Linked DNA regions of Elephas maximus indicus. The protein of the gene in region 4 interacts with the protein of the main gene of each other region in a pairwise test. Links are inferred from orthologs where the notes say so. Each region holds a gene or a part of one and is shown on either strand. Other genes may lie near its edges. The genes, in order: TUBGCP4, UXT, INKA1 and PAK5.

Region 1 (7,927 bases), on a different chromosome or scaffold from region 4:
TGTCTATTCTTTCCATCTTCTTTTGATGTTTTCTGCATCATTCAATGTTTCCCCCGTTGAATCCTTCAAAATTTCAACTCAAGGCTTGAATTTTTTTTTATCAGTTTTTGCTGCTTAAGAAATGCCAAGCGTGTTCTTCCCTTTTGGTTTTCTAACTCCAGGTCTTTACCCATTTCATTATAATATTTTACTTTGTCTTCTTGAGCTGCCCTTTGAAATCTTTTCAGCTCTTTTACTTCATCATTTCTTCCAATTTGCTTCAGCTGCTCTACATTTAAAAGCAAATTTCAGTGTCTCTTTTGACATCCATTTGGGTGTTTTCTTTCCCATCTTTTTCATGACCTTTTACTTTCTTCATCCCATAACTTGTCTGGTGTTCAGCCATCAGTGTTCAATGCATCAAATCGATTCTTGAGATGGTTTCTAAATTCGGGTGGGATATACTTGAGGTCATACGTTGGTTCTCATGGTCTTGTTTTAATTTTCCTCAGCTTCAACTTGAACTTATGTACGAGCAATTAGTGGTCTGTTCTGCAGTTGGCTGGCCTTGTTCTGAACGCAGTTGGCCCGGCCTTGTTCTGATGGTATTGAGCTTTTCCATTGTCTTTTTCCACAGATGTGGTCAATTTGATTCCTGTGTTTTCCATCTGGTGGGGTTCACAGTGCATAGCTGCCGTTTATGTTGTTGAAAAAAGGTATTTGCAACGAAGAAGTTGTTGGTCTTGCAAAATTCTATCATGCGATCTCTGGCGTCTCACCAAGGCCATATTTTCCAACTACCAATCCTTCTTTGTTTCCAACTTCCACATTCCAATCACCAGTAATTATGAATGCATCTTGATTGCATGTTTGATCAATTTCAGTCTGCAGAAGTTGGTAAAAATCTTCAATTTCTCCATCTTTAGCATTAGTGGTTGGTGTGTAAATTTGAATAACAGTCGTATTAACTGGTCTTCCTTGTAGGTGTATGGAATTTTCCTATCACTGACAGCGCTGTACTTCAGGATAGATCTTGAAACGTTCTTTCTGATGATGAATGCAACGCCATTCCTCTTCAATTTGTCATTCGTGGCATAGTAGACCATATAACTGTCTGATTCAAGACGACTAACACCCTGTCCATTTCAGCTTACTAATGCCTAGGATATTGATCTTCATGCATTCCATCTCATTTTTTAAACTTTCAATTTTCCTAGATTCATACTTCATACATTCCATGTTCCTATTATTAATGGATGTTTGCGGCTTTTTCTTTTCATTTTGAGTCATGTCACATCAGCAAACGAAGGTCCTGAAAGCTTGACTCAACCCACGTCATTGAGGTCAACTCTACTTTAAGGATGCAGTCTTCCCCAGTAGTATTTTGAGTACCTTCCAACTTGAGGGGCTCATCTTCCAGCACTATTATCAGACAATGTTCTGTTATTCATAAGGTTTTCACTGGACAATTTTTTCAGAAGTAGACCACCAGGTCCTTCTTCGTAGTCTATTCTTAGTCTGGAAGCTCCGCTGAAACCTGTCCACCATGGGTAACCCCGCTGCTATCTGAAATACCGGTGGCATAGCTTCCAGCATCACAGCAACATGCAAGCTAGCACAGTATGACAAACTGACAAAAGCATGGTAGAAAAGATTACCATACAGTGTTGAAAACCCCGTGGGGCATCTTTACGGAGTCAGAATTGACTCGATGGCAGTGGGTGTGGTTTTAATTATTAGCTAAAGAGCCCTGGTGGCACAATGATTAGGAGCTTGCTGCAAACCCAAAGGTCAGCAGCAGTTCCAGCCCACCTGGTGATCTGCTCCTGTAAAGATTACAGCCTAGCAAACCCTATGGGGCAGTTCTACTCTGTCACACAGGGTCACTATGAGTTGGAACTGACTTGACAGCACAGGAGAAAAATTATTAACTAGGAACCCCTGTGTGGCACAAATAGTTTATCGCTCAACTATTAGCCAAGACGGCGGTTCAAGCCCACCCAGAGGCACCCTTGGAAGACAGGCCTGGCTACCTGATTCTGAAAGGTCACAGCCTTGAAAATCCTATAGAGCAGCTATACTCTGCACACATGGAATCACCATGAGTAGGAATCAACTCAGCAACGAACAAAAACAACTATTATCTATGTAACCCCAGGAGTTACTTAGCATTCTGAGTCTAAATTAATCTGTTAAATGGAGATAAAGTGACTGCAAAGGTTAAAAGAGATTAAACAAATAAACCATTGCTGTTGACTCATAGTGACCCTATAGGACAGAGCAGAACTGCCCCACAGGGTTTGCAAGGAGTGGATGGTGGACTGGTACTACCAACCTTTTGCTTCGCGGCCAAGCTGTTAACCACCAGGGCTCCAAACGAGATAATGCCTCCAAACAACGTCTACTCCTCAGCACTTCCTCCTCCTACAGCCCCGGTACCTTGAAGGCCCGCTTCTAAGTTCTCCACCCTCTCGTTCATTTCTTCATTCAACAAAATTTGCTCGGCACTTATTGAGTCAAGCGCTGTGAGTCTTCAAAATTCAGTTTGAAACACAGTGCAAATGTGAAAATGAGAGACGGAGCCTCTTTAGCTTCTACATCGGAGCCGCCCAGCTCCTTGGCTCGAACAACTCAGAAGCATCCGAAGACAGGCCTGGCAACCTGCTTCAAAAAGGTCACAGCCTTGAAAACCCTATGGAGCAGCTCCGTCCCCCCCAAGGCGGGGACGTTCCGGGTCTGCTGTCAGTTTCCCTGCCTCGGCCCAGCTCTCTCAGGGTGTTCCTCCCTCAGGCCCCTCGGGCACCAAGCTCCGGTTGTCTGTCCTAGGACACACCCCCTACAACACCGCGGGCCCTGCACGCCCTGCCCCCTCGGCTCCCTCAGACCCCACCCCCTGGCTCCGGCTCTAGTCCCGCGGTCGCTCCGCCGTTCCCGCGCGCAGTACCTGGAGGCCGGTCTGCTTGTTCCAGGTGAAGATGGACCCCGGGTACCCGCTCAGAGCCAAGAGCAGCTCGTGGATCATTCCCACGGCGGACCTCCACTCCCTAGCCACGTCACCCTGTCCTCCAGCGCCCCTCCAGGGGACCACGGAGGCGAGTTCTCCCGCCTCGACGCGTGCACAGGCCGCTGGGACGGGCAGTTCGTCCGGAATCTACCCCGCCGAAACCACTGCTGCGGGAACAGCGGACGGGAAGAGCGGAAGGGGTCGGCGCCGAGTCCCGGAAGTGCGCGGACCCGCCGTGTCCCACCCGCTCGCTCCCGCCGGGCTGGGAGGGAGATGGAGGCGTAGTAGCGGCCGGTGCGCATGCGCCCCTTCTGCCCTGAGGTGCCCGCTCGCACTTCCGGTTTGGGAGCTGGCCTGGGAGGCTGGCGATCTGGGGCTGGAGCCGGAGCTGAGTGGGTGAAGCTGGCCCGGGGGCAGGAGTGCGAGGGGGCTGAGGGAGACGCTCCCAGGGCTGTGTCGGAGAGTGTTCTCAGGGCGCCGTAGCCCGGCCGGAGGCCCGTGTTAGGCAGCGCACGGGGCTCCGAGAGTGACCCGGCCGGAGGGAGCGAAGACAAAGAGGCCGGAACCCCGTACCCGCCGCTCCTGGAGCCGAGTTCCGCGCCGGCAAGCCCCGCAGCCCTCGGAGCCTCTGGCCGGCACCCTGGCTCGTCCTCAGGAGACCCATCCCGACCGTTCCCTGGACTCCCTCTCTACCAACTCAGTGTGACTCTCCCCAAGCCCACCCGGCCCTCGCTTCAGGAGTCGGAGCTGCCTTCTCCCGATGCGCTCGGTTTCCCTTCAGTGGCTCTCGAGTCCTCGCCGAACGGTTCCTCTGCGGAGGGGGAGAAACAAAGACTCGACATTTAGTAATTGATTTTTGTGTGGGGTGGGAGTTGGTAGTCGTGGAGCCGGAGGGGGCGGGGCGGACGGAGAGGGCCCCGGGAAGGACTGCCGAGGTACGGGGGACACAGCTGCGACCCGCTGCTCTCGGCAGGACGGTGACTTGTCTGTAGATCCTCTCGAACTCCAGGTCTCCCATATGGTTCGAACTCACTATGTAGTACTGGTCAAGGGAGCTAAATGGGGTCGGATTTGGGGGAGGTGGGAGAGGAGCAGACACAGTACTCCGTTCTCTGGTGCTTCCCCGGGCTGCCCTGGAGGTCGCCCAGAAACGCAGCTTTTGAAAGGTCTCTCTCCTTCAGCTCACAGCCTTGGCTTGCTGCCCTGAAGATGGTGCTACCTCAGATGGCCAGCTGGAGCATATGGGAAGTCAGGCCAGCCCTGGCAGGATTTTAGACGTATGAATATATTCCTTCTGATAGTGCCATCTCTCTCTACCCTAGGAAGAAACTCCTCTTACAGAGAGACTGCAGGTGATTCTCCAAGGAATGGGAAGATAGGTGTAAGCCCTGGAGCCCAGACCCTTAAGTAGAGGGAAGCTGCTTTCTGCTGTGAATGATGGCCAGACCCACTCTGAGAGGGGATGGCACTAACTCTGAGACCTTCCGACAACGCTTCAGGAGATTCCATTACCAGGAGGTGGCAGGGCCCCGGCAGGCTTTCAGCCAACTCTGGGAACTTTGCTGTCGGTGGCTAAGGCCGGAAGCACGCACCAAGGAGCAGATTGTAGAGTTGTTGGTGCTAGAGCAGTTCCTGGCGGTCTTACCTGGGGAGATCCAGAACTGGGTACAGGAACATTGTCCAGACAGTGGAGAGGAGGCAGTGGCTCTGGTGGAAGATTTAGAAAGACAGCTTGGAAGACCTGGACGTTCGGTGAGAAAGGAGGGGGAGTTCAGAAATGTGTGATCGCAAAAGGGTAAGGGTAACAGCCAGGTTAAGGTATAGATAGGTTTAAAGAGGGGCACAGTCTCCTTCAACGATGCTTATACTTCTGACCCTGGAACAGGTAACTTTTTCATATAGAGTTTGTCTGGAGATGCTACCTGGGTGTATCTTTGCCTACCCTGCCATAATGAATTATTTGTAGCTCATTAATCAGGAATTTTTTTTTAACTTGTAGTTGGGTTAACTATATTGGTCTTTTCATTCTGGAGTTCCAGCTGCTCTAAGCTAACAGTAATGGAATTACTTGTTTGTTATAACCCCCAATCCCTACAACTCTAGCCATGTCCCAGAAGGATGATCTTTTGGGGTATTAATCTCCTCTGGGAATGCCCCCCATTATGACCTTGCAGTGACAATTAATGGGGGTTGTTTCTAGGTCACAGTCTCTGTGAAGGGGCAGGAAGTGCGCTCGGAGAAGATGACACCCCTGAAATCATCACAGGAGTTATTAAGTGTTCGGCAGGAGTCAGTGGAACCCCAGCCCAGGGGTGTACCCAAGAAAGAGAGGGCAAGAAGCCCAGACCTGGGACCACAGGAGCAGATGAACCCAAAGGAGAAGCTCAGACCTTTTCAAAGGAGCGGTGAGGAGTAGATTCATGCGGGTAGATAGGTGCCATTCTGAGCTGGGAGAAATAGGGTTGGGAGTAGTGAGCGGGAAAGGGATTTCAGGACTAAATAGATATGCAATTGTTGGGGACCTCCTGAAGGCATGTAGTTAAGCTCTCAGCCTACAGTAAGTGTTTTTTGTATTTGTACTTTTGATAAGTGCATGAGAGGGTAACTTCCTAGTTTTTATCAGAACTTGGAACTATTTTATTTCCTCTTGGTAATGATAATAGTAGGTCATTATTTTCTAGTTAAAAATTCTTTTCTGTACTTAAAGGCACATCCTCCTTTTAGTCATTTCCGTCTCCAAATGAAGCTGTGTTTATTTTTTAAGCTTTTCCCCGGAAGCTCCATTCTCAGACCTAAGTTGTCATTAACTTCCTTTAACCTAAATGTTAATTGTGGAGAACTAAGTTCTGTGTATTACTCCAGTGAGGATAAGGCAGAACGGGAGCTTTTCCTTCACAAGTTTGCTGCATTTTCTTTCAGTATAATCCAATTGATAATTACTTGATAATTTTTGTTCACCTGTTAACTCCCAGGATTCTTATAGCCTTCCCTATTGGTTTTGTGCCTAGTTGCTGCTGCTTGTAATTGATTTTGTAGAACTTGTTTTTCTTCTTTGAACTCTGTTGAAGTCCATTTTGTATTTTTTTTCTTTGATCATTTCTGTAACTTGTTCAGGTTATTTTGAATTCTGATCTTATCATCCAAGACGTTAGCCTTCTAAGCCAGTTTGGTAATGGCCTTTATTAGTCATCCAGCTCAAATCCCTGAACCCCACCACAGACTGGCAGAATTAAATCAGTTGGTTTTTAAACACCGACAGCATGCTCAGCCCCTTGCAGGTTCTTGAGCTTACAGTGTGACTGAGAACCCAACTATAAATATGTGCTGAGCTGTACTGGAACAGGACCAAACAGTGACTTGTTGCTCAGTGCTTGAGTGCTGTAGGGCTTTGGCCAGGTGAGAGATGAGAGTCTCTGAGACACTGGCAAATACAGCTTCTTGAAGGATGAGTTAAATTTTGATAGGAAGAGAGTTAAAGAGAAAGCACAAAATGGTAAATAAAAAGTTAGCTGTGTTCTGGAGAGAAGAGTCTAATAGGAGTGGAGAATGCATGGTAGACAAGAAGGCCAACAGGCAGGGCAGGGCTAATTCTAATGCTGAAAACTGGAGTGGAGTACGGATCGGACGAGGTGGATTTAGAGAGTGGTTGAAGGCTTTGAACAGAGAAGTGATGTGGTGGCAGCAGTATAGCCTGTGGACTGAGAAGGCAAGGGCCTGGGTTGGGTAGATAAGGGCAGTGAATGCTGCAGTTACCCAGGTTTGAGCCGATGAGGAGTCCGGGCTTGTATGGTGGCAGTAGGGAGGAAGCACCTTTAGAACTTAGTGACCGATTGAATATGGAAATGGATGAGTTGAAGACAAACTCCCTCCTCACATTAAAATCACTGAGTTTGCTTCTCTAGCCCCCGGTGAAGAACTATAGGAGACAGGACATAACTGTGTGCAGCAGTTCCTGCCAAGAAGTGGTGAGGACAGTTAGGGAGCAACTTGGAATAGAATTATCTGCTCTGAACACACAACAGAACCTTGTTCTCTTGTCACCCTGCTCTGGAAAATTCTCATTTTTTGAAGTTTCCAGTATTTGCTCCACTTTCCTCAACCCATTGAACTTCCTGAAAACATTTCCCCAGACGCTTTCCTAATAACCTTGGATAAAAAAGGCAGGACTAAACTCAGAGATTTTTATATGATCAGTCCAAACTATGATATCCTTTGTTTGCTTCCCTGCAAGCAGGATTTCCATTTCCTAAATCTGGTGTGGTCTCCAGGCCGGAGCAAGGAGAGCCATGGATCCCAGATCTGCTGGGCTCCAAGGAGAGGGAACTCCCAGGAGGCAGTCACACTGGAGACAGACGAATGCCTGCCGATCTGTTACCATCCAGGAGAGAGAGAAGAACCTGGGTAGAACAGGATCACTGGGGCTTTGAGGATGAGAAGGTAGTGGGTGTGCACTGGGGCTATGAAGAGACCAGAACTCTCCTTGCAATTCTCAGTCAGACGGAGTTTTATGAGGCTCTCCGAAATTGTCATAGAAATAGCCAAGTGTATGGGGCAGTGGCTAAGCGGCTCCGAGAGTATGGCTTCCTCCGGACCTTGGAACAGTGTCGAACCAAGTTCAAAGGTCTCCAGAAGAGCTATCGGAAAGTCAAAAGTGGCCATCCACCTGAGACCTGCCCCTTCTTTGAAGAGATGGAAGCCCTGATGAGCGCGCAGGTCATCGCGCTGCCCAGTAATTGCCTGGAAGAGGCAGCCTCTCACTCTGGTCTGGTGGGCAGTGATGCTGAGACTGAGAAGCCAGGGCAAGAGGGCTGGCAGCCTGATGGGGGAGCAGAAGAGGCCATGGCTGAGGGATCTGACAGTGATGAGATGGGCCCAGAGGCTACCCCCCAGGACTCCGACAGCTCATCTGCACCAGTCCTGTTCTGCAGCCCAAGTGGTAAGAGG
Region 2 (7,711 bases), on a different chromosome or scaffold from region 4:
ATGCCACGCAAAACAAACTCAACTGGAGCCCACACTTTCTCCTCATATCACCTCACCATCCCCACTAACACAGACTACCACTTCATTCTGCTTCCGCATACCATTTTTAATTCACTCAACAAACACTGAGTGCCTATGCACTATTCTAGGCACTTGGGTAGACAAAATTTCTCTCTTTGTAAAACTTATATATTCATAGGAAGAGACAATGCACATTCAAAGAAGTAAATTACACAGTAAATATTAGGAGGTGATAAGTGCTGGGGGGAAAAAAGACTAAGGGAAGGGAATCAGGAGTGCTAGGGGTTACAGTTTTAAAGTTAGGTTAAAGAAAGCCTCGTTGAGGAAGTGGCCTATAAACAAGACATTTGAGTGAGGAGAAAGCCACATGGCTATCTGGGGAAGAGCACTGCAGGCAGAGAGAACAGCCAGTACAATTGCCCTGAGGTGGGATCATTCTTGGGGTGTTTAAAGAAGAGTGTGAAGGTCAGTGTAACAACAGCACAGTGAATGTGCAGGGGAATTAGCAGGAGGTAAAGTCAGAGATAACTTGTTTTACTGTTACTGATTTACAGGCTAACGAGACCTCACAGATCTGGTCATAATTGTACTTATGTATTTCTTTTTTATAACAGTATACTTAATATCTGTCTCATCCCTTAGAATGTAAGCCTTCAAGGAACCATTCTTTCTTGTTCACTGCTGCATCCCCATCACCAAACACAGACCCTGGCATATAGGAGATGCCCAATAAGTGTCTGATGAATGATAAAAAGACTGCTTATTATGTGCTGTGCCTGGGGCTCAGCTTTCCGTTCTCACATTCCTCAGCCCCAGCCCTGAGAAGGAGGGGAGATGGGTCCCTAAGTACCATCCCAGGCAGATATGGGGAGAAGGAAGAAGGGTACTGGTGATTTAGACACGATCCTCATAGAAGGGACTTACTCTGTGAGGAGACAGCTCTTACGATCAATAAACTTGAGAGCTTCTGCCAATGTCAGCTCCAGGAAAAAACCGTATCCAAGGGCCACATAGATTCGTGAAGTATCTGGGCTGAAGAAAGAAGTTAGAGGAAGCAGGGGGAAGTCCTTGCCACCATGTAGTATACCGTATAACTTATTCAAGATGTTTTTTGATTCCCCTCCCCCAAAGAAGTTAGAGGAAGCAGGGGGAAGTCCTTACCACCATGTAGTATACCGTATAACTTATTCAAGATGTTTTTTGATTCCCCTCCCCCATCTTCCCCAAATAGAGGCTCTAGGAGAGCAGGGATTTTGTTCTATGTTATTCACTGTCACATCCCTAGCACCTAGCTGTGTCTGGTTAGAGCAGATGCCTTCAAAATATTTGTTGAATGAAGGAAGGGGGATGCTGAATCCTGTGGGCTCAGAGGGGCAGGTAGACACTCACACCACTGTGTCAACGAAGAAGTTACAGCCCAAATCCACCTGCATATATAACTCCGAGTGGTTAGTTTCCTGTGGGGCCAGGGAGAAAGAGGAAGGGGTCAGTACTCACATTTTAAGTCAAGAGACAGGTTTTGGTCTGGGGTTTCTCCTCTTGTCTTCCTCCCTTGCCCACAAAAAAGGTATCCAACCTTGGCATCTTTACCTGGAGTCGCTCAATGACATTTCTTAGTTGAAGATATGTGGCCAGCTGCTCATATACTTTGTCGCGATGGTCCAGCACCTTTCTGATGGAGTGAGAGTCCAGTGGTGACCAACAGGTGACCCTGTCCCTCTTGGGATACCTCATATCTTGCCTCTGTGAGACCCTTATAGCCCCATGCCCTGAACAAGCCTTTTAGTGCAGAAGATAAGATTTTGGACTCTGCAGTCAGACGACTTGGGTCTGAATCCAGGCTCTCTCCTTTACTAGCTATGTCAACTTGGCAAGTAAGGAGCCTCTCTGGGACTCAGTTTCCCCATCTATAAAGGATAATGACAGTATTACCTCATGCAGTCGTTAGAATTAAATGTTATATAAACTGCTTAGAATAATATCTGCCGAATAGTAAGCTCTATATATGTGTTAGGTATTATTTATACTATTATTAATATTATTATAAATGACTGTCAATGCCTCTGACCAATCAGAATCTCTCATTCTCACCCTAGAAAAATCCTCCATCCCTTTTAGGATGCTCAAAGTCCTAGTTGTAAACACCGAACTTCCCACTTATATTAACAGTGACAGTAATTCTTCATATTCATTGAGCCTTTAGTATGTTTCAGACATCCACGCTAAATTCTTTAGAAGTATTTGAACACATTGAAAACACAAAACCACCAGATTTGAGGGCTCTGTCAACTTCTCCATTTCACAGATGAGAAAAATGAAGCAGAGAAAAGGCGACGAAGTACATGTTCACACAGATGACAAGTGGCCGAGCCGGGATTTGAACCTAAGAACTCCGGCCTCAGAAACCTAGCTTTTAACCATTAAGGGATGTCGAAGTCAAGCACGCGCAGACACGCCCTGCGCGCTGAACGCCCCGTCCCAGTCAAATTGCACCCCGGATGTCGCCCCTCCTTCCCGCTTGAAAGGGGCGCTGGGCCGGGCCAGAACGCCCCACCTGCCAATCAGAAAGCTCTGTGCTGACACTAAACGTTCCGCCCACCACGTGGAAGGTTACAACCCCCCGCCCCCCCACGCCCGCTCACTGCAGGTCCCGCTGAAGCACGTCACTGATGAAGGCCTCATAGCGCAGCACTTTCTCACTCGTGGCCTCTAGCGCCCGCCGTTTAGGGGGCGTCGCCATGATGAGCTCCTGAGGAGTGGGGAGAGGGAAGGCCGTTTTGACCACTCCAGTTTGGCCTCTTGCGCAGTAAATCTTCACCTTCCCAACGTTGGGAATGGGCTCGTCTGATTCATACCGGGAGTTGCGCCTTCCGCGCCTCCCAACTCTGGGATCCCTGCCACAGAGAGACACTCAAACGCGCCCCTTACCTCAGAGCCGCCGGGAACCAGAACGGAGAGTTGGTATAAACTGCGGCTTCCGGGTGGCGCGGTTAAATGACGTAGTGGCAAGCAGGCGGCCAATCAAATAGCCAGGTGGGGAGGCGCGGTCCTGGCGGAAAAAGATCGGTCAAAGGCGTGAAGAGAAGGGTTGGGCTTTACGGACTCTGAGGAGACCTGGAAGACCGTAGAGCGTGGAAGCAGGGACTGTATGGCAATAAACCGATGGGGCTGCGAAAGCTGCGTGAAGCCTATGCACGCGTGGCTGGTGGGGATGGAGCCTAATGGGATTTGGTGGGTCCTGGATGCAGGATGTAGGACTAATAGGGTCGCTTTAAGTCAGAATTGACTCCACGGCAAAAGGTTTTTTAAAGGGTTTAAGGGGATACAGGAAGCATAGGCAGAGTTAGAGAAGTGGAGTGAAGCATTTGGTGTTTAAAAGGGCCACAGAAGCAGATGGGCAAGAATTAATTTTGGTTCTGGCTGCCTGTGACCCCGTATACTCCCCAGCATGTTTTTTTCCTAATTCAAAATGGGCAACTGAGAGCTCGACATAACTAACGCCATGATGAACCTGTAAGTTTTTCTCCTTCCTCTGCCTGTCCTCTCCTTCACATACCTCTGCTAATGGCTTTGTTTTGACCAAATGTTAATAACTTTGTTTTAAACTGAGGCAAATAACATTTTGTAATGTCCGACAACCTGTGGCATACAACCCCCACAGGAAAATTGGAGCCCAGGTATATATCTGTATCTTTAGCCTAATGAAGAGATGTCTGGCAGGTATCTTTTGTCACTATCCTGTAATGAATGACCCCTCTTGAGCATACCTCCAGCTAAGTAACCACAAAAACATTTCTAACCCTTCTAAAATTCTATGTTGTTGTTGTTAGGTGCCATCGAGTAGGTTCTGACTTATAGCGACCCTATGCACAACAGAACAAAACACTGCCCAGTCCTGAGCCATCCTCAACAATCGTTGTTATGCTTGAGCTCATTGTTGCAGCCACTGTGTCAGTCCACCTCGTTGAGGGCCTTCCTCTTTTCCGCTGACCCTGTACTCTGCCAAGCATGATGTCCTTCTCCAGGGACTGATCCCTCCTGACAACATGCCCAAAATATGTAAGATGCAGTCTCGCCATCCTTGCTTGTAAGGAACATTCTGGTTGTACTTCTTCCAAGACAGATTTGTTCATTTTTTTGGCAGTCCATGGTATATTCAATATTCTTTGCCAGCACCACAATTTAAAAGCGTCAGCTCTTCTTCGGTCTTCCTTATTCATTGACCAGCTTTCACATGCATATGATGCGATCAAAAATACCATGGCTTGGGTCAGGCTCACCTTAGTCTTCAGGGTGACATGTTTACTCTTCAACACTTTAAAGAGGTCCTTTGCAGTAGATTTACCCAATGCAATGCATCTTTTGATTTCTTGACTGCTGCTTCCATGGCTGTTGATTGTGGATCCAAGTAAAATGAAATCCTTGACAACTTCAGTCTTTTCTCCGTTTATCATGATGTTGCTCATTGGTCCAGTCGTGAGGATTTTTGTTTTCTTTATGTTGAAGTGCAATCCATACTGAAGGCTGTGGTCTTTGATCTTCATTAGTAAGTGCTTCAAGTCCTTTTCACTTTCAGCAAGCAAGGTTGTGTCATCTGCATAATGCAGGTTTTTAATGAGTCTTCCTCCAATCCTGATGCCCTGTTCTTCTTGATATAGTCCAGCTTCTCGTATTATTTGTTCAGCATACAGATTGAATAGGTATGGTGAAAGAATACAACCCTGACGCACACCTTTCCTGACTTTAAACCAATCAGTATCCCCTTGTTCTGTCCGAAAAACTGCCCCTTGATCTATGTAAAGGTTCCTCATGAGCACAATTAAGTGTTCTGGAATTCCCATTCTTTGCAATGTTATCCATAATTTGTTGTGATCCACACAGTCGAATGCTTTTGCATAGTCAATAAAACACAGGTAAACATCCTTCTGATAGTCTCTGCTTTCAGCCAGGATCTGAGATCAGCAGTAATATCCCTGGTTCCACGTCCTCTCCTGAAACCGGCCTGAATTTCTGGCAGTTCCCTGTGGATATACTGCTGGAGCCAGTTTTGAATGAACTTCAACAAAATTTTGCTTGTGTGTGATATTAATGATATTGTTCTATAATTTCCACATTCGGTTGGATCACCTTTCTTGGGAATAGTCATAAATATGGATCTCTTCCAGTCAGTTGGCCAGGAAACTGTCTTCCATATTTCTTGGCATAGACGAGTGAGCACCTCCAGCGCTGCATCTGTTTGTTGAAACATCTCAGTTGATATTCCATGAATTCCTGGAGCCTTGTTTTTCGCCAATGCCTTCAGAGCAGCTTGGACTTCTTCCTTCAGTACCATCAGTTCCTGATCATATGTCAACTCTTGAAATGGTTGAGCATCAACTAATTCTTTTTGGTATAATGACTCTGTGTATTCTTTCCATCTTCTTTTGATGCTTCCTGCATTGTTTAATATTGTCCCCGTAGAATCCTTCACTATTGCAACTCGAGGCTTGAATTTTTTTTCAGTTCTTTCAGCTTGAGAAACGCTGATTGTGTTCTTCCCTTTTGGTTTTCCATCTCCAGCTCTTTGCACATGTCATTATAATACTTTGTCTTCTCGAGACACCCTTTGAAATTTTCTGTTTAGTTCTTTTACTCCATCAATTCTTCCTTTTGCTTTAGCTGCTCGACGTTTGAGAGCAAGTTTCAGAGTCTCCTCTGACATCCACCTTGGTCTTTCCTTTCTTTCCTGCCTTTTCAATGGCCTCTTGCTTTCTTCATGTATGATGTCCTTCCACAACTTAGCTGGTCTTCGGTCACTAGTGTTCAATGTGTCAAATCTGTTCTTCAGATGGTCTCTAAGTTCAGGTGGGATGTACTCAAGGTCATATTTTGGCTCTCGTGGACTTGCTCTGATTTTCTTCAGTTTCGGCTTGAACTTGCATATGAGCAATTGATGGTCTGTCCCACAGTCGGCCCTTGGCCTTGTTCTGACTGATGATATCAAGCTTTTCCATCGTCTCTTTCCACAGATGTAGTCAATTTGATTTATGTGTGTTCCATCTGGCGAAGTCCATGTGTATAGTTGCCGTTTATGTTGGTGAAAGAAGGTATTTGCAATGAAGAAGTCGTTGGTCTTGCAAAATTCTATCATACGATCTCCGGCATTGTTTCTATCACCAAGGCCATATTTTCCAACTACTGATTCTTCTTCTTTGTTTCCAACTTTCGCATTCCAATTGCCAGTAATTATCAATGCATCTTGATTGCATGTTCGATCAATTTCAGACTGCAGCAGCTGATAAAAATCTATTTCTTCATCTTTGGCCCTAGTAATTGGTGCATGAATTTGAATAATAGTCGTATTAACTGGTTTCCTTGTAGGTGTATGGATATTTTCCTATCACTGACAGCGTTGTACTTCAGGTAACTACGAAGACATTTCTAACCCTTGTAAAATTCTATAGAAGCTCTAATGTAAAATTGCTCTTTGGAACTCCATAGAGATAGCCTGTGTTGCTGCCAGTCCCCGGTGATGTATGCATCTCCTGAGAAAACTTTGTCTTTTGTGACTTGGTGTGTTTTATTGGCTGGACTGCTCCAGGGCACGGACCCTAATCGGGTAACATGTCGAAAAGAGGGTCTATCCTGTTTGATCTGTCTACCTAGATTCTGATTTTTCACCTGCGAAATTTGAGTTTAACTCCCGGTGATGGGAATGAGTGTGAACACTGAAAGATTTTTAAACAGAGACAAATCTAAAATTCATCTTTTATGACTCCAGCTCTGCGATCTGCAATCTATAACTGTGGGGTTAAAGCGGAGATTGACAAAGCGTTGTATCTAATCACTTCATTTAATACCCTTTGCCGTCAAGTCGATTCTGACTCATAGCGACCTTATAGGACAGAGTAGAACTGCCCCATAGAGTTTCCAAGGAGCGCCTGGTGGATTCAAACTCCCGACCTGTTGGTTAGCAGCCATAGCACGTAACCACTACACCACCGGGGTTTCCTCATTTAATAGGGGGATAAAATGGAGGGTCGCTGGAGTCCTCTGTCCAAGATTTGCTATCTTGTGGTTAGAAATAATTTCCCGTGTGTTTTATTTAAATATGTAAGCTTTTTATTAATGTATTTTTCATGCTTTCAAGTGAGGGACTGAACTTATTTCCCTTGTAAGATTTTTAAACAGAGGCATCTAACCCAGCCAAGTCCAGGCCGGAATCCCCCAAACGCCATTCTCGTATGCAGGGGCTTGAGCTCCAACCCCTATCGGAAAGACTTTCCAGAAAATCTGTATGTTGTGTATGTAAAAGCAAGGTTCATTTTTCAAATGCCGAAAACCTGACCAAATCTAGTTTTTCTTTGCTCATTGAACAAGGGTGTTGTATAGGAAATATTGAGATTAAAAAAACTTTCGTAACTCTCATAATTACGTTTCATGTGATTGAAACACACTAGGTAGTTAGACAAATATTACACCACCGTCTTAAGAAAGGAGCCCTGGTGGTGGTGTGGTTAACAGCTTGGCTGCTAACCAAAAGGTCAGTAGTTCGAATCCACCAGCTGCTCCTTGGAAACCATATGGTGTAGCTCTCCTCTGTCCTAGAGGATCGCTATGGGTTGTATTGACTCATTGGCAATGAGTTTGGTTTCGGTCTTATGAAAAGAAGGTGTTAAATTTACTATATACAACAGGGAGAACACTATCA
Region 3 (7,319 bases), on a different chromosome or scaffold from region 4:
TTCCTGTCTTGAGCTGCTCTGGCTCCTGGCTTGGGCTCCTGATGGCCCACCAGCACCCTCCACTCCATGCCAGGTCACTTGCTCTCTGGCTGCCATTGTTCACTTACACACTTCCCTCAACCCCTGCCTCCCCCGCCAGGGTGACAGAGCTGGTGCAGCGGGTGACAGGGCAGGTGCCTGAGCCTGGGCAGCAGGTCCTGGTACTGGAGCTGAGCTGTGAGGGTGAGGAGGAGGACACTGCTTTCCCGCCTCTGCACTATGAGCTGTGATAAGGCAGCAGCCCTGACACCTGGCTCTACCAAACCCACACCTGCATCCTGAGCCCACAGCAGGCCTTCAATAAATGCTTACTGAAGACCTAAGTGCAGAGGATGGATGATGGGACACATGGAGCATGACATGGGCATGACAGGGACCCCAACCTGGACGGGAAAAGTTCTTTAGGTTCTCTCGACTCAGTTGTGCCTCTTGGGGCTGAAGCTACTTCCTGGAGCCTCAGGGGTATGGAGCCAGGACAGTCCAGAGAAAGGCCTTTATTGTCCCCAGGTTGGGGGCAGGGTCAGAGGTAGCTGATGACATCATTGCAGATGATGGGCTGACGGCTGCGGCAGCTCATGAGGGCAGCAAAGCGTGAGACGTCAGCAGGCAGCTCAGGCTCCGGGCGAGGTGGGCACGACAGCCGCTTTCCCGCCATAGCTGCCCTCCGTGCCCCAGCCAGCCGGCGCCGCAGCTGCTCGGAGAGGCCAAGCAAGAATTGCGGGGGCCGAGTGCGGGCACGGGGCCCACCCCCGCCCCCACTGCCCCCCTCACTCGCTGTCTCGGGCAGTTCCATCCAGTTGTGCACCAGGTCAGCGAAGCAGTTGTCCCCCAGCACCAGTGGCTGGCGACTGCGACCCCTGCTCAGCAGGGCTGCTGTCCAGTCCTCCGCGTCCAGTCCCTGCCAATGCTCCAGGCAGGCATCAGGGGTGGACTTGGGCCGTGGTCTGTGGGCAGGTGGTGCACTGGCCAAAGAGGCCCTGCTAGGCAGGGGGAGGCCATTGGCTGAGAGGCGCTGGCTGTCCGGGGGCCGTGCTGGGGGTGTTGGGCGCTGTAATACGGGCAGCTCTTCCTCTTGCCATGTGCTCCCTGACACCTCTGAGAAGCCAGAGTCCCAGTCCAGGGTGTGCTCCCTGGGGCCCCTCAAGGCTGCACCCCTGTCCCCTGTCATCATGACTTCTTCCTCATCCTCCTCTTCCACACAGCAGGCCGAATCCTCTTCTGAGGCATCTGAGGCCCTGAGCCGGTGGCTGGGCTGCACACCTTGGCCAGGTTTGGGGGATGGCTTCAGGGAGCCAGGCATCTGGGGTGAGCCTGTGTCCCGGCCACACAGCTGCAGAGGAAGAGAGAGCACAAGTCGGAGCAGCAGCACTTATTAGCCCTGCCTACCTGCCTGGCCCAGCGAGCCCTGAGAACAGAGAGCCAAGGAGAGCTGGAGAGATCTGCTGGCCTGGGTGGCAAGGCTGCTGGGGGGCACAGGGCCAGTGTTGGGGTGCTGGCACACGAAGCCAGTGTGGCTCCCATCTGCCCACCTGGTGGCAGTCCAGCAGGCTGCAGCACGCAGGGCCAGGCAAGTCAGTACCCGCCACTAAGGCGGGCCGGCAGGGGTGTGGGCCTGCACAGCGAAGTAGGGCCTGCCCAGTGCTGGGGGAGGCATCCCACAGCTCTTGGGGGATTCAACTCTCCCAAGGCCACAGCTTCTTTCAGAGGAGGTTACAGTGTTTTCCAGGTAAGGAGTGGAGGAAAGAGGGACAGGCCAGCCCGGGGTAGGGGGAGTCCACAACACTAGCGCCTCTTCAGTCCCTTGGTTTGTCCTGCCTGGCCCCAAAAAAGGTTTCTCCCCCACCACCACTACCCCCCGCCGTCCTGGCAGCACGGCCAGCTGGGTGGCTTGTTACCTGATGCCCAGCACAGCTCCCAACTGTCCGAAACCCGACGCGGGCCATCTGGGCCATTTGCGCCGCCCCGCCCCCATCCCTCCTCGGATGGGCACTCGGGACAACCCCCACCCGTCCACTTTCGGGACAGGCGGCAGCAGAGCATCCCCCACTCGTCCCCACGAACCACACCCGCGCCCAAGCCTCACCAGTTCCCAGCGGAGCTGGCCCAGGAAGCTGTCAAGTCGAGCGCTGTGCATACCCGTGCCGGAGTCTCTGTCAGGCCTGCCCCCTTCTCCTCGAACCGCTGCACGAGCGGCGCAGAGAGGGCCTGGCGGGCGGGCCAGCGGGGCCCTCGCCCTCCGCCTCGAGCCGCAGCTCCTCGCTCTCCGTAGCTCCCGCCGCCGCCGCCCCAACATCTGGCAGCAGCACCCCGCCCCCGGAGCCTTAGCCAATGGGGGCGGGGCGGGACTGAAATGACCCCGCCCCTCGGGCCGGCAAGCGGGGCGGCCCGGAGGCCTCCTCTCCCTCCTCTGCCCTGGCCTGGGGAGGCGGGGCTGTGGCTGGAAGCTGGGTGGGGTCCGACCCGGAACCCCTCCCCCGACGCCCTGATTGGTTGAGCTAACCCGGGGTTCGTCGCATGACACAGGGCAAGTCGCTTCCCCGCGGCGGCTTCTGCTTCCCTGTGGGACCCAGGATAGGACGGCGGTCCCTCCTACGTAGGCCCCGTGAGCGCGGGTCCCCCCGCGGCGTCCACGTGCCCGCCCGGCGGGGCAGTGAGCATCCCGAGTCGTCCGGCCCGGCCATGCTGTGGCCTTCTGGGGGCCAGACCGGCTGGACCCGCTTCGCTGGACCTCGACAATCGCTGGAAGTGATGGGAAGGCGACCGGGCCGAATTCGGGGGACGCGGAACCTTGCGTCAGCGCAGGGGGAGGTCCTCAGCCAGGAACCAGCCCAGCCCTCCCTGCCGCTCCGAGTTAGGCAGGGTCGCCCCCTGGTGGGGGGCGCGCGATTAGCCGCGAGTCCCGCCGCTATTCGGGTCCACCGCATACTCTGTGCGACAGCCCCTCTGCAAAGCACCACATGCATACTGAGGATCAGTGCGGGGGGGCAGTGGGAGAGCGGGAAGAAAGAGTGCCACTCATCTGACGGGATGGCCAGAGTCGGTCCCCTTGAGGGTGCTCTGTGATCAGAGGCTAGGCTCAAGGGTACAGTCTAACTGGAGACAGAGTAGACACCAGCAGACAAGAAAATGTCCGGAATGAGGGCCATGGGCTAGCTTGGGAAGGGGGTTCTTGGAGGAGTTGGTACTCAGGATGAGATCTGGGTGAGCCATCATGGGGCAGACCTGAGGAGGGGCATTCTAGGTGGAGGGACCAGCCGGTGTAAAGACCCTGAGGCAGGAATGGAGCTGGACAGGGCAGAACACAGATCTCTGCTGGTGGGGGGGTGGGGGTGGGGGTGGGGGTGGGGGTGGGGGTGGTGGTGAAGAGGTTAAGAAAACCAGACTCCCTGCAACCTTAGAGAGAAATGCATGTTTTGTTTTGGGTGTGCTGGGGAGCACTGGGATACTTTGAGCAGGGAATTACCTGGCGTGTCTCCTTTTTAAAGAATTCTGGCTGCTGTAGGAGAACCAACTGTGTAATCAGAGTGGAAGCTCCTGCCCTCATGCAGGCAAGGGAGGGGATTGGCCTGGATCTGCGAGGAGCAGGTTCACAGAAGGTGTCAGTTTGGGGTATATTTTGGACCTAAAACCAAGCCTTGCTAATGCATGGATGTGGATAGGAAAAGAAAGGCATCAAGCATGACTCCTAGATTTCTGGCCTAAATGACTAGTTGAATGGAGTTTGCATGAACTGATCTGGGAAATACTGAGGAAGAGTGAGTTTGGAGAGGAAAATTAAATGATCATTTGTGGATTTGAGATGCCCATTAGACATCCAAGAGGGAATGCAGGGTTGATCTTGGGCTGTGTGACTCCGGAGTTTGGGAGAGAGGCCAGTACTGGATGCTTGGATCTGGGAGACAAAGTAAGTGGATGTTATTTAAGGCCATGGGCCTGTATGAGATGGGAAGAGATAAGTGTAGACAGAGGAGGGCAGCAGGTAGGACTGAGTTCTGGAACATTCCACCATTAGGAGGTTGAGGATATGAAGCAGAACCAGCAAAGGAGCTGGGCAGGAGTGGCCAGGGAGGTGGGAGGATACCAGAAAGAGTGTGGGATTTGGAAGCCAATGGGAGCAAACATCAAACAATCCTGAGGAATCACCAATCCCAAGGAAGTGAGTAGAAGCCACTGGATTCAGCAGTGTGCAGGTCACTGAGGACCCTGACCAGGGAAGTTTTGTGGAAGGAGGGACGAACCTGACTACAGTGGGTACAGAGAGTGAGAGGTGAGGAACTGGAGAGTACAAGTGTAGCCACTTTTACAAAATTGACATGTAACATAAATACGATAAACAGAAAAATCTCAAAGGTACAAGGAGCCCTCGTGGCACAGTGGTTAACCACTTGGCTGCTAACCAGAAGGTTGGTGGTTCGAACACACCTGCTGCTCAGTGGGAAAAAGATGTGGCAGTCTTCCATAAAGATTTAAGGTCTTGAAAACCCTATGGGGCAGTTCTACTCTATCCTATAGGGTCACTGTGAATTGGGATCAACTCGATGGCAGTGGGTTTGCTTTTTTAGTTTTCAGAGGTACAGCTCAATAAATGTTGAAATCTGTAGACCCCTGTGCACTGGACACCCAGGTGAAGATATAGAACATCCCCACACCTCCAGAAGGCCACCTCGTACCCCTCCTAGCTGATAATTCCAGAGGTAACTACTAATTTGATTTCTATTCTATCCCAATGATTCCTTTTCCTTGTTGAATGTAGACAACTTTTGAGAGATTTTGCTGATGGTTGGAACTCAGGTGTCATGGGCAGATCATGTTCTCATGAGGGTAGAGAGGAGACAGCTAGAGTTCATGTGCTGTGTGTGGGGTAACATACCCTGGGCCCAATTTTCCTGGGCACTGTGCTTGCTCTGTCTCCAAGGACTGAGCGATCAGGATTTCCCCAAGCCTCAGTTTCCCCATCTGAATCTTTATCCTCCTCCTTTCGTGTTCCGTTAGGGTTGTGGTAATGAATGGGTTGGGGACAGTGGGAAATGGGATTGTCTATGCCTACCTGGGATCTACAGCTCAGTCACCAGGGATGGGCGGGGCTAGAATCTGGTTGGTCCAGGAGTCCTGCCTGCCCAGCTGTGTCTGAGCAACTGACCTGGCAACCAGGTAAGCCTGTCAAACACATCAAGCTTTCTGGAGTGCTGACTGTATCTTCTGGCCACCATGGAGCTACTCAGGCCCCTCGTGCTCCTTCTTGCTCTGGGTGTCTTTGGTGAGGAGCTGGTGGGTAGGGGAGCCCCAGTTCTCACCTCCAACTCCACAGTGGAGTTCTGGCCTTTCTTAGATAAGCTACTGTGGAGGACAGGGACTGGGGAAGAGCCAGGAAAGGGCAGGGGTAAGAGCCTCTGACCCTCATTTCTCATCTTGGTTGCTTCCTCAACCAAGTCTGTGAAATGAGCTGACCCACATTTAGATGGGGGGGACAGAGAAGGGCTTTGGCTGCTTGGCCCCAAGACTGCAGTAGACAGGCAGGGCTATGCTCACATCTGTGGTTCTGTGAGCATAGGCGGGCCTCCGGCCTGAATCACCTGCCCCTTGCAGACCTCCACAGCCAGCCCTGGTTCATGAATATCTCTGAGAGCCTGGGCCCTGGCACAGTTCTTGAGCCTTTCCCCTTCAACTGCACCTCCTCCGCACCCACCTTGGAGCTGCTCTATGTGCAGCCACCCACCACCTTCTTCAACCCACCCAGCCTCAGGAGGCAAGGCTCCTACTATGTGGGCACGGTATGGCTTTGGGCACAGCTGGGGACCATGGGGACACAGGGTGGACCTGAAATTCCCAAAGTTGAAGGTGGTATAGGGAAACAGAGAGCCTAGACCCCACGTGGCCTGCCCACATGCCATAGGTGACTTTCAGCAGCTCGGTTCGGCTTGATGCTCTAGCAGTAAACCACTACAGACTGCAGCTGCGATTCAAGTGTGGCATCCATGTGACTGAGGGGCCACTCTTTTTGGATGTGCAGCGGGATCCCAGTCATGTCCAGTGTGCCGGCCGATTTGCCAGCCCAGGTGAGGCTGGGGGCAGCTGGCAGGGGGTGGGCAGGCATGACCTGAGCAGAGCCTCCCTAACCTCCCTTCTGCTCAGCTGGGGAAATCATTGAGGTGCCAGAGACGGTCACACCGGGGGCCCGGCTGTACACTTTGCTGCTCCCAGGCCTGGAACTCAAAGGAGCCCAGGTGAGCCCAACACACGGGGCAGAGAGAAGTTACAGGGAGATGGGAGACCAAGCCACAGGGTCATCTCAGGGGTTCTTTCAAGTTCTCCTGTGTGTTCTGAGTTTTCCATGACAATTCAGTATCACTTTTATAATCAAAAAAAGAAATGCAGTTTAAAAACAAAATAATTGGTTTAAAAGCAGAGAGGATTGTGGATAAGGACCAAGGGTCAGGTGGAGGGAGGGGAGCCCAGCCTGGTGTGAGGGCCAAGGGCTGGAGCATGGGAGAGTTGGGTGGGGTGGGTGCCTGTCAGGTTGTTGGAGGATGTTGACAGGGGTGCTTGGAGCACGAGGAAGCAGATGGAGCTTCCAGCATCTCTGTCCTGTCAGATGAGCATCACCAGTGCCCAGGACCCTTCATACTTCCCTGGATCTTTCTCCATCAATCAGCAGGGTTGGCTGCAGGTGCCAGCCCAGGGCCTCAAAGGCCAGTCTCAAAAGGTGAGCATGACCTGGGACCTGGGGGGTATCCATGGACTGGGGATGCAATGGGTAGAGACTCTACCCCCTGGAGATTTCTTTGTTCTTGGCATTCTCGATTATGCTGCTGCTTCCAGACCTAGCCCATACCCTGAACCTGCTGCTGCATGCTGGCTGTCCCCATCTTGGCCTGGTTCTGTGCTGGTATCTGGAATCCAGAGAGAAGAAGGGTCCCTGGCTCTTAAAGCTCATAGTTGCTGTAATAGAAAGGAAATTGTTGAGGGCAATCACCTAAAGGGAAAGTTCTGGGTAAAGTGGCCAGTGTAGTCTGGAGGAGGTTAGAGAAATCCCTTCCTTAAAATTTTCACCTCTTGATGATTGGCTCTTAGCAACTCTAAGATGATAATTCACATTGTGAATGACTCAGATATCATTCTTGGGCTATCTGTATCCTAACAGAAGAACTTATGGTCCAAAGGAATGGGGCTCAAAGGTATACCTGTCAGCAGAGTGACTGGTCATGGGGAGGGTGAGTGTTGGGGCTCCTTGAGAGGGGAAGTGGGCATAGACTATAGAAGAACACATATCATGGTTCCCT
Region 4 (7,171 bases):
CGATGGCATTGGGAGGAAGACATGTTGAAGATGAGGCTGGCCCCGTACCCAAGACTTCAGGAGTCTCTGTAATCCGTCCCAGCTGTATGGATGTGTTGTATGCAGGGAATTCACATGATACTGCCTTTTGTGGATGAGAAACTAGAAGGATCAAGAAACCAGGAGGTCTTCTTAGGAAGTTATATTAGTAGCCCAAGTGAGAGATGATGACTTGGAGTTTGATGGTGTTGGTGGTAGAGATGGAATGGAGGCTCCATTGAGATATATTTAGAAAACAAAATTTATAAGACCGTGTGATGGTTTTGGATGTGAAATAAAGGGAATGGAGGTGTCAAAGATGATCCTCGGGCTTCTGGCTGAAGCAACTCCATGGACGATAGTGCCATTTACAAGGATAAGAAAAACTAGAAAGGTGTTAAGTTTGGGATATTTTTGTTGCTGTTGTCATTTTGGTTGTTTTCTTTGGATTTTTGCTCATTTGTTTTGCATTGTGTTGGTGGGGTAGCAAAAGGGAGGAAAACCATATCAAGAAATCAGTTTGGGACAGTACATTATAGATAAGATCTGAATCCTGGATTGTCTGGGTTTCCAGATAAGTGAATCTGTGTAAGTGAGGTACCTCTAAGCTCTGTTCTTCCCTTCACCACGGAAGGGTACATAAACCCTCAAACAGGTTAGTTGTATTAAATTATTTTTAAGGTCTTTTTTGACCTTATCTACTTTACTTTACCTTCTTCTTTTAGGCTGACATAATATTAACATTGTCATTAAAATGGTTCATAGGGATTTTGGGAAGATTAAATGCAATCACATGTTTGAACCTGACTAGCATAATATGGGAGCCCTGGTGTCACAACGGGTCAGCGTTTGGCTGCTAACCAAAAGGTCGGCAGTTCTACTCTGCCCCATAGGGTCACTATGAGTTGGAATCAACTCGACAGCAATGGGTTTGGGTTTTTCGGGTTTAACATAATATGGGGCACATAGTATAGGTTCAATAAACATCCATTTCCCTTCCCCTTATAATGGTCATCACTATTTCCCTGGCGGTTAATACTATAAGTAATCTTCACACTTACCTATTTAGGTATTACTCTTCCTACTTCCAGGTTTGTTTTACAGATGAGGGAACTGAGGCTTGCGAAAGCTAAATAGCTTACCCAAGATCACAGAGATAAGTGTGGAGGAGCTAGAGTTCAAACTCAGCTTTGTCTCATCGAGATGATACCATATCCTAGAACACCCATTTCTAGTACCAGTAGTGTTGGTGTTTTCAATGCGTGCAATGAAAATTCACACTCATCACCAAAGTAATGAGTTGCAATCAATCAATCAATCTCTATCCATTCACAGAGGAACACAAAAATTTTATTCTAAGACCAATGGTATCAATGAACTTGCCATCAACTTCTATTGCTTCCATTAGCAATGCTTCTGCTTGGTACATACGTATTCCAAGTCAAGGATTTACTTAAATGCATTTTTCTCAAGCATTTCCCATTTTATTTTGATGATACTGGCTCATTTTTGCCACCTAAGGAGACCAGAAAAATGAATAGTGTCAGTGTAGAAGTGTCTCTAAACTTCATATTCACAGATGTCCATCCTTTATATCATAAAGAAAAAAATTAAAATGTTGAATACATACAAATGTAGGAGAGAACTTACAGGATCATGTCAATTCCCTGAATGGGATATGCAAATGTAAGGTTGTAGTTAGGGACTGGTTTCATAGAATTCTAATTTAGAAGGAGCCTTTAAAGAGCATCTTGTCCTTCTAGACTCAGGAAAGAGGGTGTACCCTCATGCCACCAAAACAGAGAAGAGAAAAGAAGGTGCAGAGAGGTTCTCTAAGTTCCCTAGGACCCTACGACTATTTCCTGGTAGCATCTTAGCTGAATGCCAGGTTTCCTGATTCCCCACCCCCCCAAACTGTATTCAGTCTTGCAAGCTGTCATCAACTATTAACAATGACACTTCTCTCTGGCTTTATGCCAACTTCTCTTTCTCTTTATTGCCCTGGCCTTGAAACGTCCATCATAAAAAAAAAAAAAAAAAAGATAGCACCAATACTTTCAATGTCCTTTACTGATATGTAATGTTGAGGCATTAACTCATGTCCTATGTTTAAAGCTCCAGCTAAACACGTTTCAAGAGAGGTGATCAGGCTTGTCCTCCAAACCCAAACTGGGCACTGATGGTCCCTGGACTTTTCAAGTTTACCCTCCAGGAAGCCAAAACCGCTCACAATTTTGACAAGAGTTTGGAACCGAGATCCTCTTCCACACTCTGCCCACACCCGTGCCCACAAGCAGAAGTTGGTTCTCTCCATTACAACCCACCACGCGCACACACACATACCGAGGCAAGTAACAAAGGAAAACACAGCCCTATAAAGGCTCAGCTATTGGTTCTTCCAGTCCACACCTGCCAAGAGACAAAAATCATACCGGAATCCTGCCCTGGCAATATGTCCAACACTACTCGGGAGAAACAGGCATCGTGGCACCCCCGGGCGTGCGCGGCTGTATACACAAAAGAACCGGTGCTGGGCTTGCTAGAGGTCCGGGGTACCAGCGCGCTCCCCGGGCTGCTATCTAGGTTTCTTCCCCACGCCCTCTCGCCCAACAGAAAGGAACTACCCTTTATTTGACCCATAGGGATCCCAAGCTGAATGGTAGCGCATGGGGGGTGGGGGGATAGTCCTTGGATCCCTTCCTTCTAAGCAGCCGGTCCCCAGCCTTGGGCATCTCCTAGGAGATGCACAATCGCGCGCTGTCACTGATGTCCTCTTCGCATCCTCTCCCGGCAAAGCAAGATGCCCCGGGTCCCAGCCGCGCGCATCCCCACAAGCGCCCCTCCCCGTGCGGATGTCCACCCAGGCAACCCCGCCAGGCGCGCCTGCCTACCTGGTGGCTGGCTGTCAACGAAGCGCGGTGGCTCATCCCTTTCTTCTCCTCAGCCGCTACATCGCTCCGAGCGCCATGTTCCCGGTCTCCCCGGGCGCACGCTGGGGAACTACTACAAGCTGAGCAGGGGCAAGGGGGGCGGGGGCCAGAGGGAGGGGGTGGGAGGTAGAGCCACAGCTTTCTACTCTCCACCCAAAGCTCCTCCCGCTACTGAGCATGTCCGGCTGCCGGGCTTCGCCCCTAGGAGGACGTGGCAGGAGCACGCGCCACGACTCCGGGTTTTCGTGACAGCCGGGGAGGCGAGCTGGAGCGGCGCAGGCCGTGGAGAAGGGGTGGGTCGGGGGAGTGTCGGCTCGCCCTACAGCAGAGTGCGGGGCACGCAGCCCTTAGCCGGTCACGCTTTTCCCTCTGGCCTCTCCGCGGGGGCAGCTCGTGCGCGCCCTCCCCACACCCTCCGGGTTTGCCGAACTGTTGCGCGTGCAGGACAAGGCCGGGCTGAGCTTCGCTTAAAAAGCCAGCAAGGGGGAGGGGGGGAGGAAGGGCGGAGCCGAAAGGCTGATCAGCTGCTAGCAGTGGGGACCACCTGGACCGGCACTTCTCAAACTTTACTGTGCCTGTGAGTGAAATGTAGATTCTGATTCGGTTCTGGAGAGGGGCCTGAGATCCCACATGTCAAAGAAGCTTCCAAGTGGTGCTGATCCTCCACACTGGGTAGAAACGACCCGGACAACTCCTCATGGGTGGCTTGTGAGTGGCTGTCCCTCAATCAGCTGTCCCAGAAATGGTCTCTGGCCCCACATAGGCCCCTTCTACCTACAGATGACTTGGTAACTCCACAAATGTAGTAGCACCTGGGGTTGCTGTGCCCTCTAATACCGAGCTCTGATGTCCCAGCCCTAACTGGCTACTATCTGGTTTAGAAAATGAGGTCTGGGCCTCTTGCTGCCAACTTTGCTCGTTAGCCACCACTGAACTGCTCCACTAAGTGTGAACCAGTGTGCCTTGCTTGTTCCCCAGTCTGGGCTTCAAAGTGTCAATTTATTGTACATGTAATGATAGGGCTGGGAAGCCCTGGTGATGCAGTGGTTAAGGACTACAGCTGCTACCCCAAAAGTCGGCAGTTCAAATCCACCAGCTGCTCCTTGGAAATCCTATGGGTCAGTTCTACTCTGTCGTATAAGGTAGCAATGAGTCAGAATTGACTCAGTGGCAGTAGGTTTTTTTTTTTTTTTTTTCGGTTTTTACCTGACTAAAAAGAACTGACAGATTCTGATAAAAGGAGGGCAATTTTTGTGCCAAGAGATGACAGGCTTTTCTCTTGAGTGATGCTTGGGCTAAAGCTTCTAACGTATCTTGTGGTTCTACTTAAATCCTCCAGTTACCCATTCCCCTCCCAGCTCCCAAAGGCTCCAGCATCGTCAAGAGTATTCCCTGCCCACACGACAGTGAGAGAAAGACATGAGGAAGCCAGGCATGAATTTTCAACCTTGGAGAACAAATACTAAGAGTAAACAAGTCATACCCTCTTCTGTCCTCAGCTGCCTCAACAATACACTTATGAGCTAGTGCATATGGTATCATGGGAGCCCATAACTGAATAGATAGCAGATTACAAAATGAGGGTTTGTATCTATCAGTACTCTATTATACTCAATAACCATAGACTGTTTTCTCGTTAGTGGTGGAATAGTTATCATTTCCCCTTGTTTGTCTTCTGTTCACTTAAAACCCTCATGCAGCAGCTTCTGTATCAGAACAGGAATTGTGGGCTAAATGGTTGATGACTTTTCTTCCTCAGTACTCCTGTGTATGGTGGGGAAATATATCATGGCATATCGTACACTCATGGTGTACCAATCAGAGGAATAGGAGTCTCCAAACCCATCTCTTTAATTCTCTAAGCTGCACACATAGCCCTAACTACCCACCTACCACCCCCACTGCCACCTGCACCATTATTTGCATAAATATTTTCTATTTTGATTTTTTTGTATGTGAGTGAGCACAGATGCAAAAGAAAACATATTCACAGAGTTATTTATTTGTTGGCTTGGTGGTATCAATTAAAATTATGCTTTGAAATACAGTGCTTTGATCATTTAAAATATCTCTCCTATTATATATAACGCTTGTGTTCATGTGGTTATTTCTACTAGATAAATACTATGATTATTGTTAGCTGCCTCAAATTCATTTTGAAAGTTTGCCAGGTAAAAATTATAAATTAATACTAATAATATTTCTGTAAATACTTTATTGCATTAAGTGCCAAGGGATTTCTTTTTATATAATGTCTTTTCTTGATAAATAAGTGGAACTTAGAGAAGTCATACAGCAAAGTATCTAAGTAGGGCAGAAAATTTAGGAACTTAACTTGTGATTCTGTCTTTTCAACTCGCTGTGTGAACCCGAGAAATTAGTGAGCGTTCTTTCTTACTTTCCTCACTTTTGCAGGCTGGCTTCCGCATGATGCTGGCTCTGAGACAGAGTTTAGCATGCAGGCTGTTGATTAAGGAGTGCCCTTGGGCCCAACACCTATGGCTGAGAGATGGTGGAAGCAAGAGTGGGCACAGGGAGAAGTCAAGCTGTGACACAGGCCGATGACAGGCTTGGCCAACCTCACAGGGAGTTCTGGAGTGAGAGTGGCCCTCAGAGTTCCCCCAAGATGGGCTGAGATGGTCTGGTCTTTGTATCGCCTTGTGAATCATTGCGTATGGGCTGCCCCTGGAAGGGGCTTGAACTTCAGATGAGGCAGCTCCCTGAAGCTGAGGCAGTGGAACTCAACTGATTTGCCAGAAAATTTCAAAAAGTGTAAATTTTTAAATAAGTAATGGCTTTTCTAGCCAGCTCAGGGATTTAAAGGTTGGGCAATAACCTGTAATCAGAAGTTGGAAGTATTTTATCTGATTATTTAGTTGTCTAGGTATATACATTCTTTTTTCTTATGTGAAGAATTATAATCTATTGAGCAGGCATATATTCATTTTCTGCTATTCAAGAAGTCTTTTCTCTGCTATCAAAATCTATAGTTAAAATCTGAAAGCTTTGGGATATTAAATATTAGATTGACCTAGAAGAACATGTTTTTCAATAAAACAGACCTACCCATTGGTCAATATTTCATGAAAAACTGACCTCAACCAATCTTATAAAAAACCTGTGGAAAAATGTACCTCAGCGGTAGTAAACTTAGTAGATGAGTTGAGGAAGATGTTTAAGACAACACACTGGAATCAAGGTTCAGCTTACTCTCCCTACTATTTACTCTCCCCCATGCTGTTAATCAGCAGATAGCTTGTTGTTGTACTGTTAGGTGCAATCTAGTCAGTTCCAATTCATAGCGACCCTATGTACAACTGAGCAAAACACTGCCCAGTCCTGCGCCATCCTCACAATCATTGTTATGCTTAAGCCCGTTGATGGAGCCACTGTGTCAATCCATCTTGAGGCTTTTTCTCTTTTTCGTTGGCCCTCTACTCTACCAAGCATGACGTCCTTCTCCAGGGACTGATCTCTCCTGATAACATGTCCAAAGTATGTGAGACATAGTCTCACCATCCTTGCTTCCAAGGACCATTCTGGTTGTATTTCTTCCAAGACAGATTTGTTCAATCCTTTTGCGGTTCATGGCATATTCAATATTCTTTGCCAACACTACAATTCGAAGGCATCAATTCTTCCTCAATTTGCCTTATTCCTTGTCCAACTTTTGCATGCATATGAGGTGATTGAAAACACCATGGCTTGGATCAGGTGCACCTGAGTCTTCAAGGTGACATCTTTGCTTTTCAACACTTTAAAGAGGTCTTTTGCAGCAGAAGCAAATAGCTGGCATCCTTCAAAGGTCAGTCACAATAATAATGGAACCAGCATGGATTCCAGAAAAGAACTGGGCATTTGCTAGATTATTGGGTTAGAAGAAGAACAGGAGTTGGAAAAGAAGATTTCAACTAACATAAACAAAAAGCTTATAGGATATACATCTGTCTTGGTCATCTAGTGCTGCTATAACAAAAATACTGCAAATGGACGGCTTTAACAAAGAGAAGTTTATTCTTTCACAGTCCAGAGGGCTAGAAATCTGAATTCAGGGCACTGGCTCCAGACGTAGGCTTTCTCTCTTGGTGGGCTCTGGAGGAAGGTCCTTGTCATCAGTCTTCCCTTGGTCTGGGAGCATCTGAGTGCAGGAAGTTCAGGTCCAAAAGACGCGCTCTGCTCCCAGCACTGCTTTCTTGGTGGTATGAGGTCACCAACTCTCTGCT

What was found.
Region 1: the proteins of PAK5 (region 4) and TUBGCP4 interact in a two-hybrid assay, tested with the Homo sapiens proteins (2 studies listed by BioGRID and IntAct). The two-hybrid records come from large-scale screens. The link is inferred for Elephas maximus indicus from reciprocal best matches to the Homo sapiens genes PAK5 and TUBGCP4.
Region 2: the proteins of PAK5 (region 4) and UXT interact in binary tests that used the Homo sapiens proteins (3 or more experiments, as listed by UniProt). The two-hybrid records come from large-scale screens. The link is inferred for Elephas maximus indicus from reciprocal best matches to the Homo sapiens genes PAK5 and UXT.
Region 3: the proteins of PAK5 (region 4) and INKA1 interact in binary tests that used the Homo sapiens proteins (3 or more experiments, as listed by UniProt). The two-hybrid records come from large-scale screens. The link is inferred for Elephas maximus indicus from reciprocal best matches to the Homo sapiens genes PAK5 and INKA1.

Annotation. Positions count from the first base shown.
Region 1 is NC_064828.1:12,618,276-12,626,202, forward strand, and holds the start of TUBGCP4 (gamma-tubulin complex component 4), read right to left. Parts: upstream 3,009-7,927; 5' UTR 3,002-3,008; coding exon 2,924-3,001; intron 1-2,923. Other genes in the region: ZSCAN29 (zinc finger and SCAN domain-containing protein 29), read left to right, coding at 4,418-4,735, 5,184-5,388, 7,218-7,919. UniProt on the Homo sapiens protein: Component of the gamma-tubulin ring complex (gTuRC) which mediates microtubule nucleation.
Region 2 is NC_064846.1:123,951,588-123,959,298, reverse strand, and holds the start of UXT (protein UXT), read right to left. Parts: upstream 3,005-7,711; 5' UTR 2,950-3,004; intron 2,924-2,949; exon of another isoform or gene 2,877-2,923; intron 2,771-2,876; 5' UTR 2,762-2,770; coding exon 2,664-2,761; intron 1,694-2,663; coding exon 1,612-1,693; intron 1,479-1,611; coding exon 1,411-1,478; intron 1,054-1,410; coding exon 946-1,053; intron 1-945. UniProt on the Homo sapiens protein: Involved in gene transcription regulation. Acts in concert with the corepressor URI1 to regulate androgen receptor AR-mediated transcription. Together with URI1, associates with chromatin to the NKX3-1 promoter region.
Region 3 is NC_064838.1:54,230,118-54,237,436, reverse strand, and holds INKA1 (PAK4-inhibitor INKA1), read right to left. Parts: upstream 2,419-7,319; 5' UTR 2,333-2,418; coding exon 2,123-2,332; intron 1,370-2,122; coding exon 560-1,369; 3' UTR 518-559; downstream 1-517. Other genes in the region: UBA7 (ubiquitin-like modifier-activating enzyme 7), read left to right, coding at 140-269; CDHR4 (cadherin-related family member 4), read left to right, coding at 5,248-5,296, 5,626-5,810, 5,933-6,095, 6,172-6,263, 6,632-6,742. UniProt on the Homo sapiens protein: Inhibitor of the serine/threonine-protein kinase PAK4. Acts by binding PAK4 in a substrate-like manner, inhibiting the protein kinase activity.
Region 4 is NC_064843.1:48,555,376-48,562,546, forward strand, and holds the start of PAK5 (serine/threonine-protein kinase PAK 5), read right to left. Parts: upstream 3,015-7,171; 5' UTR 2,910-3,014; intron 1-2,909.